Linked DNA regions of Macaca fascicularis. The protein of the gene in region 1 purifies or fractionates together with the protein of each later gene. This does not show direct contact. Links are inferred from orthologs where the notes say so. Each region holds a gene or a part of one and is shown on either strand. Other genes may lie near its edges.

The links. Proteins that work in one complex are often made in the same cells at the same time.
Region 2: the proteins of MCM7 (region 1) and CDC6 purify together in Homo sapiens (affinity purification with western blotting; 3 studies listed by BioGRID). This does not show direct contact. The link is inferred for Macaca fascicularis from reciprocal best matches to the Homo sapiens genes MCM7 and CDC6.

The regions. Positions count from the first base shown.
Region 1 is NC_088377.1:48,751,467-48,759,059, forward strand, and holds the start of MCM7 (DNA replication licensing factor MCM7), read right to left. Parts: upstream 3,917-7,593; 5' UTR 3,820-3,916; coding exon 3,789-3,819; intron 3,289-3,788; exon of another isoform or gene 2,996-3,288; intron 2,608-2,995; coding exon 2,528-2,607; intron 2,267-2,527; coding exon 2,102-2,266; intron 2,047-2,101; coding exon of another isoform or gene 2,039-2,046; intron 1,913-2,038; coding exon 1,788-1,912; intron 1,713-1,787; coding exon 1,532-1,712; intron 1,219-1,531; coding exon 1,081-1,218; intron 801-1,080; coding exon 651-800; intron 467-650; coding exon 352-466; intron 267-351; coding exon 135-266; intron 1-134. Other genes in the region: AP4M1 (AP-4 complex subunit mu-1), read left to right, coding at 4,239-4,296, 4,404-4,513, 5,171-5,277, 5,360-5,456, 5,894-6,004, 6,097-6,177, 6,850-6,912. UniProt on the Homo sapiens protein: Acts as a component of the MCM2-7 complex (MCM complex) which is the replicative helicase essential for 'once per cell cycle' DNA replication initiation and elongation in eukaryotic cells.
Region 2 is NC_088390.1:61,378,029-61,385,117, reverse strand, and holds part of CDC6 (cell division control protein 6 homolog), read right to left. Parts: intron 6,192-7,089; coding exon 6,016-6,191; intron 5,698-6,015; coding exon 5,591-5,697; intron 5,283-5,590; coding exon 5,143-5,282; intron 4,310-5,142; coding exon 4,209-4,309; intron 4,088-4,208; coding exon 3,968-4,087; intron 2,962-3,967; coding exon 2,897-2,961; intron 1-2,896. UniProt on the Homo sapiens protein: Involved in the initiation of DNA replication. Also participates in checkpoint controls that ensure DNA replication is completed before mitosis is initiated.

The DNA.
Region 1 (7,593 bases):
TTACTTCTAAGCCCTCCCTGTGTCCATGAAGGCAAGATGTCCACTCTTATACTCTGACCTACAGAGACACTTGTCATCCTTTTTCCCTCCTAAATGACTTCATCCCCCCGAGCCTCTCCCTTTTTCCTTCTTACCCCGGATCTTCATGCCTCGAGGAGACTGGTCCACACCCCCCACTAGCAGAAGCAGCAGTGCCTTCTTCACATCTTCGTGCCCATATATTTCTGGGGCGATTGAAGCTGCCAGCTTTTCGTAGAAATCCTCTTCTGTAGAGAAGTTAAGGTTGTATTTTTTGGGGGAAAAGGGGGCTAGGATGTAAATGGAATTTCCTCTATCTCCCCTGCCCCTCACCTGCAATCTGCCTCAGCTCCTCCCTGCTGAGCTCTCCAGCCCCAGACTCATCATCCTCACTCTTGTTCATCTTCACAATCCGATGGGCTTCCAGGTAGGTTTCTGAGAGTAAACCCTTGGGCAGGAAAATGCCAGGATACAGATGCAATCCCTTCAACTTGCCCATCACTGGATTCCCTAACGATTTCTTGACAAATCCCTGGGTTCTGTTTGGGGTTTTGCTGCCCACTTTTCTCTGTGCGAGTAGAATGAGTAGGTGAGGGAAAAGGGGACGATCCTCATGTCAAACTCTTCCTTACCTGTACCACCTGTCGGAACCCAGTGCGCAGGATTGGCAAGAAGATACCAGTGACGCTGACGTGGTCTCCAGGCTGGGCAATTCTCGTGTTCTCTCCTTCTACCAGCACCGTGATACTACGAGGGATGTTTCCCACGGGCACTTGATCACTCTAGGGGAGGGAAAGGCACATAAGGCCAGGAGAAATGGACGAGGACCCAACCTTCCCTCCCTAGGCATCCCACTCAAAGGCTCCCAGGCTGCCTAGTCACAGACAAGCCCACAGGAGGGCTACTGAGTTTCCCCTTCCCAAGGCTCTCAGAAATTCTAGTTCCACCTCCCTCCTGCACTTCCCTCTTTCGTTCTTCTTTCTTCCTGCCACTCCACAAGTGACTACAGGATTCAAGTGGACTCCCAATCCACCTGCCCAGGGCCACGTACCCCAAACTCACATGTTCTTGCATCTTCATCTCCTGGAATTTGATGAATTTGGAGCCCCGTGTCTGCAGATACAGCCGCCCTCCTGAGCGGTTGGTTTGGCACTCCTGGCTTGGGCACATGATCAGAGGCATGAAAGTTGGAGACTGGATCTAGGATGTGAGAACAGAAGCAGCAAAAGGAAGTCAGAAGCAAAAGAGCCCCATTGGGTCGGTCGGTTCCTTGAATCACATTTTCTCTTCATGGCAGACATCTTGGAAGTGTCAAGAACCCTTTGAACTTAACTCTGGGTCAACAACAAACACCCAAGAAATAGGTAGAAAGACCATTACATACCCAACAATGAAAGGCAAACACACAGGCAACTTTTACAAGCAAAGAAAATGATAGGCATCACGGGATCAAATTAATCTCTACAAAACGACTAATGGGTAAGGGCTTTCCTGCTCCTTGCTCCACACGTACCGGCTGGTAGGTCTCTGCCCCACACTGGTCACAAGTGTAAGTGGCCACCACCATCTTGGGTTTGACTTCAGAGACACGAGTGACAATTCCACGCACAGTCACCAATTTCCCCACAGAGTCAGCCCGCACTTCCCGGATCACACGAGGCTTGTTGCTACTTGGGCCTTGAAAATACAGCTCACTAAGGGGAGAAAACAGTCACAAACAAGATCCTGGAGAACCAATCCCTACATACTTCCAAACAGAGACCACTCACAATCTGCGCATGAGTTCAGCAGGGTACTGGTTCTGGGGGCTTCGGGCTGTTCCAGGGTCCCGACTCCGCTGCTCCATCATCAGCCGATGCTCAATGTAAACGTCCAGGACATCTTTATTTACCACCTAAAGGAGGACAAAATAAACAAATAAATAAATAAACGAGCAACAGGATGGGGAAAGGAGAGTGCAGAGAACACCAGACTGAAATGCCCCTTCTTTCTGCCTGCTCAGAAAACATCAGTATCTGACCAGCCTCTCTACAGAAGCTTAAATGCCTTTCCCTTTGTTTGCCATTGTTCTCTAGCCACTCACTTCCCTCTCCTTGTACTGAGGCAGCAGCTCTTGTACGGAATCGGCAAAGAGCTTTGCGTAGCGCCTGGCATTCTCACAAATTGAGTCCACCAACTCGGGGTCATCCTCGGCTACGTCGTCCAGGTCCACATACAGAGCCACTTGTTCCCGATGAGCCAGCCGAACCTCAGGTGAGAAAGAGACAGAAACACCTCAAAGCCACATTCACCTTGTGCACCAGTGTTCATATGTGAAGATACATTACTGAGAACTCAGCACAGGCTCTGGGCATCCACAGGGGGGAACACAGCACCACTTAGAGAGATACTTGCTTCTCAGCCCCCAAACCCTCTAATTATTACCTCTTTAATAAAACCAGCCAAGCTACTTCTTATGGCTCCTTATGCACCCCACTTCCCCATTCCCTTTACCCAATCTTATACTTACCAACTGGTTCCCATACTTGAACTGCTTCTTCCCAAGTTCATCATCCTGGTAGAACTCTTGTAAGAACTTCTTAACCTTTTCTGTAACGTGAAATGTAAAATCATAAAACATAAACTTTAAGACACATCACTGCCCATCCCTCTGATAGAAATCTAAGATACCTATTTTCGCTTAAAACACAGCCTATGAACTAATAATATGAACATTTAAATAAACTACCGAATTCTCCCCAAAGTGGGCATAACTCTTTTGCACAGTCTGTTTTAACCAGCGAAGAATAAAGAGCCCGGGGCAGTGCACAGGGCGATCCAACATCTATTCCCCAGGGGAATTCCTGTCCCTACTTTAGTTTAAAATCCTAGCGCCGTTCCCCATTGGCCTCCCACACTCCGGCCTCAAGGTTCTCAGCTTTCTTTCCACCCCCATGATCCCCTGCCTTCTTTGGGTCCCCCGAGCCCCTTATCTCACCGAGACCTCCGCCACCAGGCAGGTCCCGCACCCCACCACCGCTCCCGCCAGCGCTTCCGCTCTTAGTAAACAAAGAAGCACATGGGCCCGGATTCCAGCCGCTTCACAGCCCGGGATTCCTCCGCCCGAGGCGGGAGCCAGTTCAGCCATTGGCCAGCACGCCCAGGGCCACTGCGATCCCAGCCCACTGCCGCCTTTCCCGGGCCCGAGCGAAGCTCCCGGATCCCAGGCACGCCCCCCCGGGTCGCAGCTCTCTCCGAGGCCGCCACGCGGAAGGACACTGTTTACACGACACTCCCTCCACCCGCGTCGCGCCACTTCCGCCCGGCTCCACTTCCGCTCGGAGGGCGGCCTCAAACGGCCAATCCCGGCACGTAGCGGCCCCGGCTTGCCCGCCCCCGGGGCCTCCGCGCGCCTCGGGGAGGCGGCGGGAACCTGGGAATATCCAAAAGCGCGGAGGGAAGCGGGTCCGGGGTCCAGAGCCCTTAGAGTCTCCTGAGGTCCTCGGCGCGACTCTTCCCTGTGCAGCCCTCAGCCGGGTAGCGCCCCCCAAGCCCCCCAACTCTATAACACCTTTCCCAAGTGGGATTACTACCTTTTCTTCAACGTCGATGCCCCTCGCGCGCCTTCCAGGTCCCGTGGGCCTTAGCCAGGCCGCAACCCGACCCTGCCTCTGGCGTCGCGCGCCCCAGAACCCGCTGACCCCGGTCCTCGAAGACCCCAGCTCACATCAACAGGTGTTCCCCGGGAGGCTCCCCGCGCAGGACGCCCTCCCAGGCTTGTAGACCCGTACCTTTCTCTAGCGCGTAGTCCTTCAGTGCCATCGCTGCCGAGGCCTGTGCGGCAGCTCTTGGCGGGCTCAGAGGTCTTGCTTCTGGGGAAGCTGAGAACGTCCGCGCGGTGGACTGTGGCCGGCCAACCGAAATTGGCGCGAAACGTCGCCCCCCACGTGACCAGCGCCACTGCGTGCGGGCCAATCGGAAAAGCCGGCCCTTTCTCCCTCCCGCTAGCCGCAAGCCAATCGCCGGGCGGGCCTCGAATGAGTGACGGGGAGGCGGTGCGGGAGTCGGAAGGGAATCTCCGGGCGGGGTGGGGCGGGCGCCGGGTTTCCCGCGGTCCAAGCTGGCGCGGCGGAGGAGAATCGCTCTTAAAGGGCCAGCGCACGCGCGTTCTTTTGTTCCGGGGCCTCAGGGCGGGGCAGGCCCAACTTTCGCCGTCTTCTTGTCTGCTCTCCAGGACGGCCATGATTTCCCAGTTCTTCATTCTGTCCTCCAAGGGGGACCCGCTCATCTACAAAGACTGTATCCTAGACCCTCGGGGCTGGGAAGGGGCGGAGGGACCGGGCGGGAGGGGCGCCCAGGGCCAGCCCGTGTCGCAGGATCCTTCACTGAGTCCTTCCACCCGCCAGTCCGCGGGGACAGTGGCGGCCGGGATGTGGCCGAGCTCTTCTACCGGAAGCTGACGGGACTGCCAGGAGACGAGTCCCCGGTTGTCATGGTAACCACTGGCGGGAGGCGGGTGAGGAGCTGGGCCCGGGCGGGCCGGGTGGGCGCCGTCTCCCTCCCAGGACTGGTTCCATGGTAGCTTCCACTTGGGGGTTGTATTTCTCCAAGTAAAACTAACAAGAGGCCCGGCGCGGTGGCTCACGCCTGTAATCCCAGCACTTTGGGAGGCCGAGGAGGGCGGATCACCTGAGGTCAGGAGTTCGAAACCATTCTGACCAACATGCTGAAACTTCGCATCTACTAAAAATACGAAAAAAAAATTAGCTGGGCGTGGTGGCGGGCGCCTGTAATCCCATCTACTCGGGAAGCTGAGGCAGGAGAATCGCTTGAACCGAAGAGGCAGAGGTTGCAGTGAGCCGAGATCCGGACACCGCACCCAGCCTGGGTGACAGAGCGAGACTCCGTCTCGGGGTAATGGGGGTGGGGGAAAAAAAAAACGTCCATTGGGCGCCAGCAACACACCAGGCCCAGCTCCCTGCGTGACTCCATTATCAGCAACTTGGGGTAGTTACTATAATTAACCCCGTTTCCACATGGGAAGCTGGGCTCAGGGATCTGTCATGTATCTCCCAAACTAGTAAGAGGCATCGGGATCCCAGCTCAGGTCTCCTGGGTTCTGATTACTCCACCTCCCTTTTCCTAACCCCTCTTCTCCCTGCCTGTGTTTCAGTATCACGATGGCCGTCATTTCATTCACATCAGACACAGCAGCCTGTATTTGGTGGTAACAACTTCAGAAAACGTTTCTCCCTTCAGCCTCCTAGAACTGCTCTCCAGGTGAGGAGGGTTGGGCTGGGCACCTGCTAGCTGGCAGGGGTCTGAGAGGAGGAGGAAATACACGCTCCAAGTGTTTCCTCAGGTTGGCCACTCTTCTGGGCGATTACTGTGGCTCCCTGGGCGAGGGGACCATCTCCCGCAATGTGGCTCTGGTCTACGAACTCCTGGATGAAGTGCTGGTGAGAATCAATGATCCCCTTCTGTGGCCCCCACCTAATTCCCCTGGAGATACATCTGCTCTTCTACTGTGGGATGCTGTGGTTAGGAGGCCAAGTCTATTTTTTTTTTTCCTTTTAGAGACGGTCTTGCTCTGTTGCCCAGGCTGGAGTGCAGTGGTGCAATTATAGCTCACTGCAGCCTGGAACTCCTGGGCTCAAGCTATTCTCCTGCCTCAGCCTCCTCCCCTGTGTCCAGCTCATTGTTTATTTTTTGTAGAGACGGGAGTCTCGCTCTGTTGCCCAGGCTGGTCTTGAACTCGTGGTCTCAAACCATTCTCCTATGTCTCGGCCTTCCAAAGACCTGGGAGTACAAGAGTGTGCCACCATGCCTGGCCCCACTCCCCCTTTTTACCCCTTCCCTCCACTGACCACTCGGACTGTCCTTCCTTTACCACTAGGACTATGGCTATGTACAGACCACATCCACAGAGATGCTGAGGAATTTCATCCAGACGGAAGCTGTGGTCAGCAAGCCCTTCAGCCTCTTTGACCTCAGCAGCGTTGGCTTGGTCAGCAGAGGGAAAGAGGAGGGTGAGGAAGGAGAAGAGGGGTTGGCTGGGGTTGTCAGACCTGATGATTGATTGCTTTGGATGCTTTACAGTTTGGGGCTGAGACACAACAGAGCAAAGTGGCTCCCAGCAGTGCAGCCAGCCGCCCTGTCCTGTCCAGTCGCTCTGACCAGGTGAGGGAGGAATCCATGGGGTCAGACCCTCTGGTTTTGCTCTGGGACCCCAGAGTCCAAGATCTTACGTTGGGGCGCAGTGGTTCATGCCTGTAATCCCAGCACTTTAGGAGGCCGAGGTGGGCGGATCTCCTGATGCCAGGAGTTCGAGAGCAGCCTGGCCAACATGGTAAAACCCAAAAATGCAAAAAAAAAGAAAAAGGAAAAGATCGGCTAGGCGCGGTGGCTCAAGCCTGTAATCTCAGCACTTTGGGAGGCCGAGACAGGCGGATCACAAGGTCAGGAGATCGAGACCATCCTGGCTAACACGGTGAAACCCCATCTCTACTAAAAAATACAAAAAGCTAGCCGGGTGAGGTGGCGGGCGCCTGTAGTCCTAGCTACTCAGGAGGCTGAGGCAGGAGAATGGCGTAAACCCGGGAGGCGGAACTTGCAGTGAGCTGAGATCGGGCCACTGCACTCCAGCCCGGGCGACAGAGCGAGACTCCATCTCAAAAAAAAAAAAAGATCTTGACACCTCTCCCACCTCCCCTAGATGTGGGTATCCCTTCCATCACCCATGTCCCCACCCTAGAGCTGTAGCTTTGACTGTCCTGTCCTTTCTCCCTGTCTGTCCATTTCAGAACATAGGCTATTCTGCTTCCAACCATCCAAACCCTCTCTCTTTCTCAGAGCCAAAAGAATGAAGTTTTTTTGGATGTGGTCGAGAGATTGTCTGTACTGATAGCATCTAATGTAAGTCTGAGCTCCCAAACCTGGAGCTGAGGACAAATGGGACTTGAGAAACATGGTGGGGTGGTTAAGACTCCCAGCAACAGCCACACAGTGGCTCATGCTTGTAATCCCAGTGCTTTGGGAGGCCGAGGTAGAAGAATTATTTGGGGCCAGGAGTTTGAAACCAGCCTGGGCAACATAGCCAGACCCCGTCTCTACAAAAAATACAAATAAACAAGTTACCCAGGCATGGTGGTGTACACCTGCTGTCCCAGCTACTTGGGAGGCTGAGGCAGGAGGATCATTTCAGCCTAGGAGGTTGAGGCTGCAGTGAGCCGAGATTGAGCCACTGCACTCTAGTCTGGGTGACAGAGCAAGACCCTATCTCTTAAAAAAAAAAAAAAAAAAAAAAGGCGGGGCACGGTGCCTCCTACCTGTAATCCCAGCACTTTGGGAGGCCGACGTGGGTGGATCACTTAAGGTTAGGAGTTTGAGACCAGCCTGGCCAACACGGTGAAACTCTATCTCTACTAAAAATATAAAAATTAGCCATGCATGGTGGCAGACATCTGTAATCCCAGCTACTTGTGAGGCTGAGGCAGGAGACTCTCTTGACCCTGGGAGGTGGAGCTTGCAGTGAGCCGAGATCACGCTGCTGCCAGCCTGGGCGACAGAGCGAGACTGTCTAAAAAAAAAAAAAAA
Region 2 (7,089 bases), on another chromosome or scaffold:
CCACAAAGGGATGCTGCAGAGGACTAATGGAGAAACCGGAGATCACAGATCAAGTAAAAGAATCTTAAAACTGAAAGGAATTTAGAAGTCTATTTTTACTCCCTACCCAATGGCTGAGTCCTCTCTAAAACAATCTCAACAAGTGGCATCTATCCAGCTTTTGTCTGAATATCTTCAATGCTGGAGAACCCACTATGTTTCAAGGAAGCCCAGTTAGTTCTAGTTATTAGAAATTTTCTTCTTATATTTAGTTGAAGTCATTCTCCCTGTAGCTTTCTGGAGCCATTAAAAGCCAATCTCAACCTGGTATGGTGGCTCATGCCTGTAATTCCAAAGCTGTGGTAGGCTGAGGCAGGAGAATCACTTCATCCCAGGAGTTTGAGACCAGCCCGGGCAACATAAGGAGACTCCTCCACCCATTGACTCTACAAAAATTTTAAAATTAGCAGTAGCTGGAGCTGGGGAGGCTGAGGTGAGAGGACTGCTTGGGCCTGGGAGGCTGCAGCTGCAGTGAGCCATGATCGCACCAGCCATAATTGCACACTGGACTCCAGCCTGGGAGACAGAGCAAGATTTTGTCTCACACAAAAAGAAAAAAGAAAAAAAAAAAAAAAGAAAAAGAAAAAAGCCAATCCCACACAAACCCGAAGTCAAAAGATAGAACTTACAACCTCTTTACCTCTTTTAATTATGTTTGTGCTAGTGGTGCTCACAGGGGCCAGTGACAAGCCTAAATGTTACTGGTGGGGAAAAAGGAGGAAAAGAGAATAATCTGAAAAGTTGAAATGGAAGAAGAAACCAGTATCTAAGTCTATACATTGGTATATATTGCCTACTATTAGCCTAAGCACTATTTTTGGCCACTTCTGAAATATTTTTATTTTATTTCAGCAAATTGATGAAAAAAAGAAAGAATTTCATGCAGAACTATAATGCCAGAAACAATTTTACTAACTCCCAGCTAGTGTAGGAGTGAAAAAGAAACAATCAAATCTTACTATTCTGTTTATAAAGACTAACACTGGATATCAAATACTGTAAGATATGTAGTTCATGGCCATTTTACATTTGCCACAACCGAAACAACAGGGCTGAGGGAATGGAAAATTAGTTTTGTCATTTGTGATAGCGTGTAGCTTACTGTAGCAGTATGATATTTTTACCTCTACCCTCTAGACTTCTTTAAAAGCTTGAGATATCTATCCCAAGTTGAACTTATAATTTTTCTTCTTATTATTCTTTTGAGACAGAGTCTCACTTTGTTGCCCAGGCTGGCAGTGCAGTGGCACGATCTCAGCTCACTGCAACCACTGCCTTTCCGGCTCAAGTGATTCTCCTGTCTCACCCTCCCAAGTAGCTAGGACTATAGGCACACGCCATGCTTGTCTAATTTTTTTTTTTTAACTTTAAGTTCTGGGATACATGTGCAGAATGTGCAGGTTTGTTACATAGGTATACATGTGCCATGATGGCCTGCTGCACTCATCAACCCCTCATCTAGGTTTTAAGTCCCGCATGCTCTCCCTCCCTTTGGCCCTCACCCCTGACAGGCTCCGGCATGTGATGTTCCCCTCCCTGCATCCATGTGTTCTCATTGTTCAACTCCCACTTATGAGTGAGAACATGTGGTATTTGGTTTTCTGTTCCTGTGTTACTCTGCTGAAGAATGATGGTTTCCAGCTTCATCCATGTCCCTAAAAAGGATATGAACTCATATTTCTAATGGCTGCAAAATTTTTAAAATTTTGTTGTAGAAACAAGGTCTCACTATATTGCCCAGGCTGGTCTCACAATCCTGGGCTCAAGCGATCCTCCTGCCTTGGCCTCCCAAAGTGCTGGGATTACAGGTGTGAACCACCACACCTAGCCTCACAATTCTTTTTTTTTTTTTTTTGAGACGGAGTCTCGCTCTGTCGCCCAGGCTGGAGTGCAGTGGCCGGATCTCAGCTCACCGCAAGCTCCGCCTCCCGGGTTTACGCCATTCTCCTGCCTCAGCCTCTCGGGTAGCTGGGACTATAGGCGCCCGCCACCTCACCGGGCTAGTTTTTTGTATTTTTTTAGTAAAGACGGGGTTTCACCGTATTAGCCAGGATGGTCTCGATCTCCTGACCTCGTGATCCGCCCGTCTCGGCCTCCCAAAGTGCTGGGATTACAGGCTTGAGCCACCGCGCCGGGCCTCTGGCCTCACAATTCTTTTTTTTTTTTTCTTTTTTTTTTTTTTTTTTTTGAGACGGAGTCTCGCGCTGTCACCCAGGCTGGAGTGCAGTGGCCGGATCTCAGCTCACTGCAAGCTCCGCCTCCCGGGTTCACGCCATTCTCCTGCCTCCGCCTTCCGAGTAGCTGGGACTACAGGCGTCCGCCACCTCGGCCGGCTAGTTTTTTGTATTTTTTAGTAGAGACGGGGTTTCACCGTGTTAACCAGGATGGTCTCGATCTCCTGACCTCGTGATCCGCCCGTCTCGGCCTCCCAAAGTGCTGGGATTACAGGCTTGAGCCACCGCGCCCGGCCGGCCTCACAATTCTTTTACCCAATTCTCCCTTATTTATCAGGCTTTGCTTTCACCTATATTGAGACCTAAAGTGCACGCAACATAAGCACCTAGAGAGCTGATCCAACCTCATTGTCTACAAGTTTCATTTTTAGAGCTTGGAAAGAAAACTTACTCTGTCCCAGCCATTTATGCAATACCCTGGGAACTCATTTCCAGTAATGCATGAACTATAGTACTGGCAGGCAAGATTGAAATAAAGTAGATGAAACAGACTAAAAACACAGACACACACAAAAATGGGTGATTTTGGATTTAACTATGTTCATTTCATCTTTTTACCTCTTTCCTCAGAAAAGCTAAGCTTCCAGTTACAAAGGAAGACAAGAAGAAGATAAACTACTTACATTCAGACAGTGGTTTGAGAACAGTCTGGCTTTTGACATCTGACTCTACAATTTCAATAGCTCTCCTATAAAAAAAATTTCTAAAATTAATTTAGTGTGAGCCAAACCAAACACCATACCAAATCACCAGCCTCAAAAGCAGGCACATTAATGACTATTGCTTAAAGACTGCAACTATGAACAATGGTCATGTAGGCTAACATGGTTTAGCCTATACATATCCTATGTCTAACTTTAAAATTATGATGTTTTGTAATTTTAAAGCCCCCAAACAAAACTGGGTTATTTCTCAGATAAGGGGACTTAATTGCTTTGAAATAATTCATGGACGTCAGATTTGAGAAACTTCAATGGTTTCCTCCTAATAGATGCCAAGTAGGTCATCATACATTAAGCCAATGATAACATCTTGGATGAGGAGAAAATGTCATGGGTAGGAGAGAGGATATGTAGTGTGGGTGACTAACTAAAGGGAGCCAGCACCACCCATACACACCAAACCTAAAAGAGATATCTTCAGTTATAAATACATAGGATATGTGTAGGCTAAACCACCCTAGCCTACATGACTATTGCTCATAGTTGCAGTCTTTACCCAAGTAGTTTGCTGATTAGGGGAAACTTTCAAATTCAGGATCATGCAATCTAGCAATAGGAAGAGCTTACTCTCCCACTGCTCTCTCCAAAGTACTTTGCCCACAGGAAGCCATAAGCCAGACCTGGGTCTTCTGCATGGCAATAGGGGGAGGTTGGACCAGCAGGCCAGCACAGCAAGTATCATTTTAATGGACCCAGCGTCCCTACTGGGAAGGAAGAAATTTCATCAGTCAGCACAGAGGCTTTCCCCAGCAGGAGGGGCAGGGGGATGGGAAGGGAGAAAGAGGTCTGGAGTACAACTATGGGGGACCACCAACTGGAGGGAAGAAGGGGTGCTCACAAAAGGAAAGGAAGGAAAAAAGTCTAAAGGCAAAGATGGTTCAGGTCCATAAATAAACCTGCTTGAGACCAGCTAATGGAAAAGTAAACTGGAGTCTTTTTTAATACAAATGTAATTAACCAATCTATAATCACCACAGGGAGTGCCAGCAACATCTCATTTGTTTCTCCCTCTGTAGGTAATGGACTGATAATGTTTCAGACATTAACACGGTGGAAATCCAGAGCTCCCCACTGAGAAACAAGTCCTCCTTTCTGAGCGTAAAAAAGTAGCAGAACAGAGCCTCTTAAGCCACATTCACTTGAGTTACATGAGACAATTAACAGCATTTCTTTTTTTTTTTTAATAAAAGGAGGCAACAGTGCCATAACTCACCTGCAAACATCTAGTGCTTTGCGAACATCTCCTGAAACAGCAGAGACTTTGCGGGCACAGAATTGAATTGCAGCATTGTCCAGAACCTGATCTCTAGATACCTTAAGACAAGACATAGAATATGACAGTTTGAACTATAAGATTCTCCCTCGGTAATTTATGTCCCAAGCATAAATATTTTCACATTTAACCCTAAACTTGATTGGCAACTCCTTAGGGTCAAAAAGATGCCTTTTCTTCTCATAAATAATGGAGATATTTGAGAGTTTTCACACATTTAAGCATTTTGTATGGATGTGGTAGAAGTTCATAAATGGAAAAAAAGCAATCAGAACTGAAATTAGCAAAAATAAAATATCTATTTAGTTACTTTCAACAGAAAAAGTTTTTTCATAGGCCCTATTTTTTAAAAGTCATTAAAGAAAGCACTTGAGGCCGGGTACAGTGGCTCACACCTGTAATCTGAGCACTTTGGAGGCCGAGACAGGCATATCACCTGAGGTTAGGAGTTCGAGACCAGCCTGGCCAACATGGTGAAACCCGAGCTCTACTAAAAATATAACAATTAGCTGGGCGTGGTGGCGGGTGCTGTAACCCCAGTTACTCGGGAGGCTGAGGCAGAAGAATTGCTTGAACCCGGGAGGCAGAGGTTGTAGAGAGCCGAGATCATGCCATTGCATTCCAGCCTGGGCTACAAGAGCAAAACTCCATCTCAAAATTCCTCTAACTCCTGATTTTATTTCAACACTGAGACATCCAGTAAATGAATGAAGCAGAAATTCACATAAAAATGTTCTCTCTATGGTCCACAGGAACTTCTTGCTCCATTAATAAAGCAATTAAGGCAAAAATATTTTAAAACTATTGTTAAATTTTCCTAGCACAGGTGATCCAAGAAACACATAATTTGGCAAAATAGTTGGCACTGACTGACCTGAGTAAGTCGATCTTGCAAAATAGCGACTATCTGATTTCTGGTATAAGGTGGGAAGTTCAACAGCTGTGGCTTACAGTTTTCTCTAGCTTGAAGCCTAGGCAGAATTCTATCTGTGAGATCCAGGGTATTAGCAATACCTAAGGAAGAGATCAACAACATTGATCATTGGTTACATTATCCTAAAGGGAAAACTAAATCCTCTGAAAGCTAAATAAATTTCCAGTTATAGAATCTAGCGTCTTAATGTTGCTTCACAGCTGTCTCCTACCCCATCCCAATTGATAAGATATATCTATTAGGTAAGATATACCTAGTCATTTAACTTTCTATTTTGACAAGGCAGAAAGCTGGTTTAAGATAAAATAGTTGATAAATAAGCTGAATATATATTTAAAAAAAAAAAAACTTTAAAACCACCACGTAACATTAACAATTGAGCACTAACCAATCAGCACCAAGCGAGAATTGCTCAGCCATGGCCATTCAAATAGTGTGTACAATACATCCTGGCCTTTGCTGTCCAGTTGATCCATCTCATCCAATACCAACACACTATAAAAAGAGAAACAGTTAGAATCCATATTCACCTTCCTAACCCTCTAATGTTTGGTATAGGCTGTCTTCAGGTCACTTTCCTAAAGCTCAGACCAGTTTAAAGATCATAATCTATCCTATCTCTAGTTACTGTTACAAGGATACTCCACATCATCTACAAGTAATCCAATTTAAAATTAGGTGTATCTTCCTTCTCTTCTTTCCCTTTAAACTTATGTAACTATTCTTCAGAGAGCAAATATACAAAATGTACTTTTTATGGGCAACAGACCTTGCAGATTTTCACAGAGCAACATGAAGCAGAACAATACTTACATCATGGGGCCCTTGTCTGCAGTCATATGTTTTTCTAATTTCCTCATCATGTCCTTCCCAGCTGGCTTGGATACCTCTTCCTGACAAATCTCCTGAGCAATAGCTGGGAATACAGCCTGGGCACTCCTCAAGGACATGCAATTCAGCATGATAGTTTTAAAGCCTTTCAGTTCCTTCTGGAAAAAAAATGCAAACATGGTAGTTATTTTGGCCTCAGAAAATAAAGATCTGATAGAGCCTAAAATGTCTTTGAAGAGCTAACAGCGCGTAAGGAAGCTCTACTTTCATTTGGAAAGATTTAAACAATGAAATTACAAATGTCTTGTTTTAAAGAAACCTTCAATCTTCGAAACTTCTACTCTCTTTTCTTTTCTTTTGGAGACAGAGTCTCACTCTGTTGCCCAGGCTGAAATGCAATGGCACAATCTCAACTTACTGCAACCTCTGCCTCCCAGGTTCAAGTGATTCTCCTGCCTCAGTCTCCCAAGTAGCTGGGATTACAGGGATACACCACCACACCCAGCTAATTTTTGTATTTTTAGTAGAGATGGGGTTTTGCCCTGTTGGCCAGGCTGGTCTTGAACTCCTGACCTCAGGTGATCCACCCGCATCAGCCTCCCAAAGTGTTGGAATTACAGGCGTGAGCCACCACACCAGGCCTACTCTTTCTTAACTCTTTTTTTTCCTTTTTCTTTTGAAATGGAGTCTTGCTGTGTCACCCAGGCTGGAGTACAGTGGTGCAATCTCAGTTCACTGCAACCTCTGCTTCCCAAGTTCAAGTGATCCTCCTGCCTCAGCCTCCCAAGTAGCTGGGATTATAGGCACCTGCCACCATACCCGGCTAATTTTTTTTTTTTCTATTATTGGTAGAGACAGGGTTTCACCATGTTGACCAAGGTGGTCTCGAACTCCTGACCTCAGGTGATCCGCCCACCTCGGCCTCCCAAAGTGCTGGGATTACAGGTGTGAGCCACTGTGCCTAGCCCTCTTTCTTAACTCTTAAAAACTAAGTGCTGGCCAGGCACAGTGGCTTACACCTGTAATCCCAGCACTTTGGAGGCTGAAGCAGGCCGA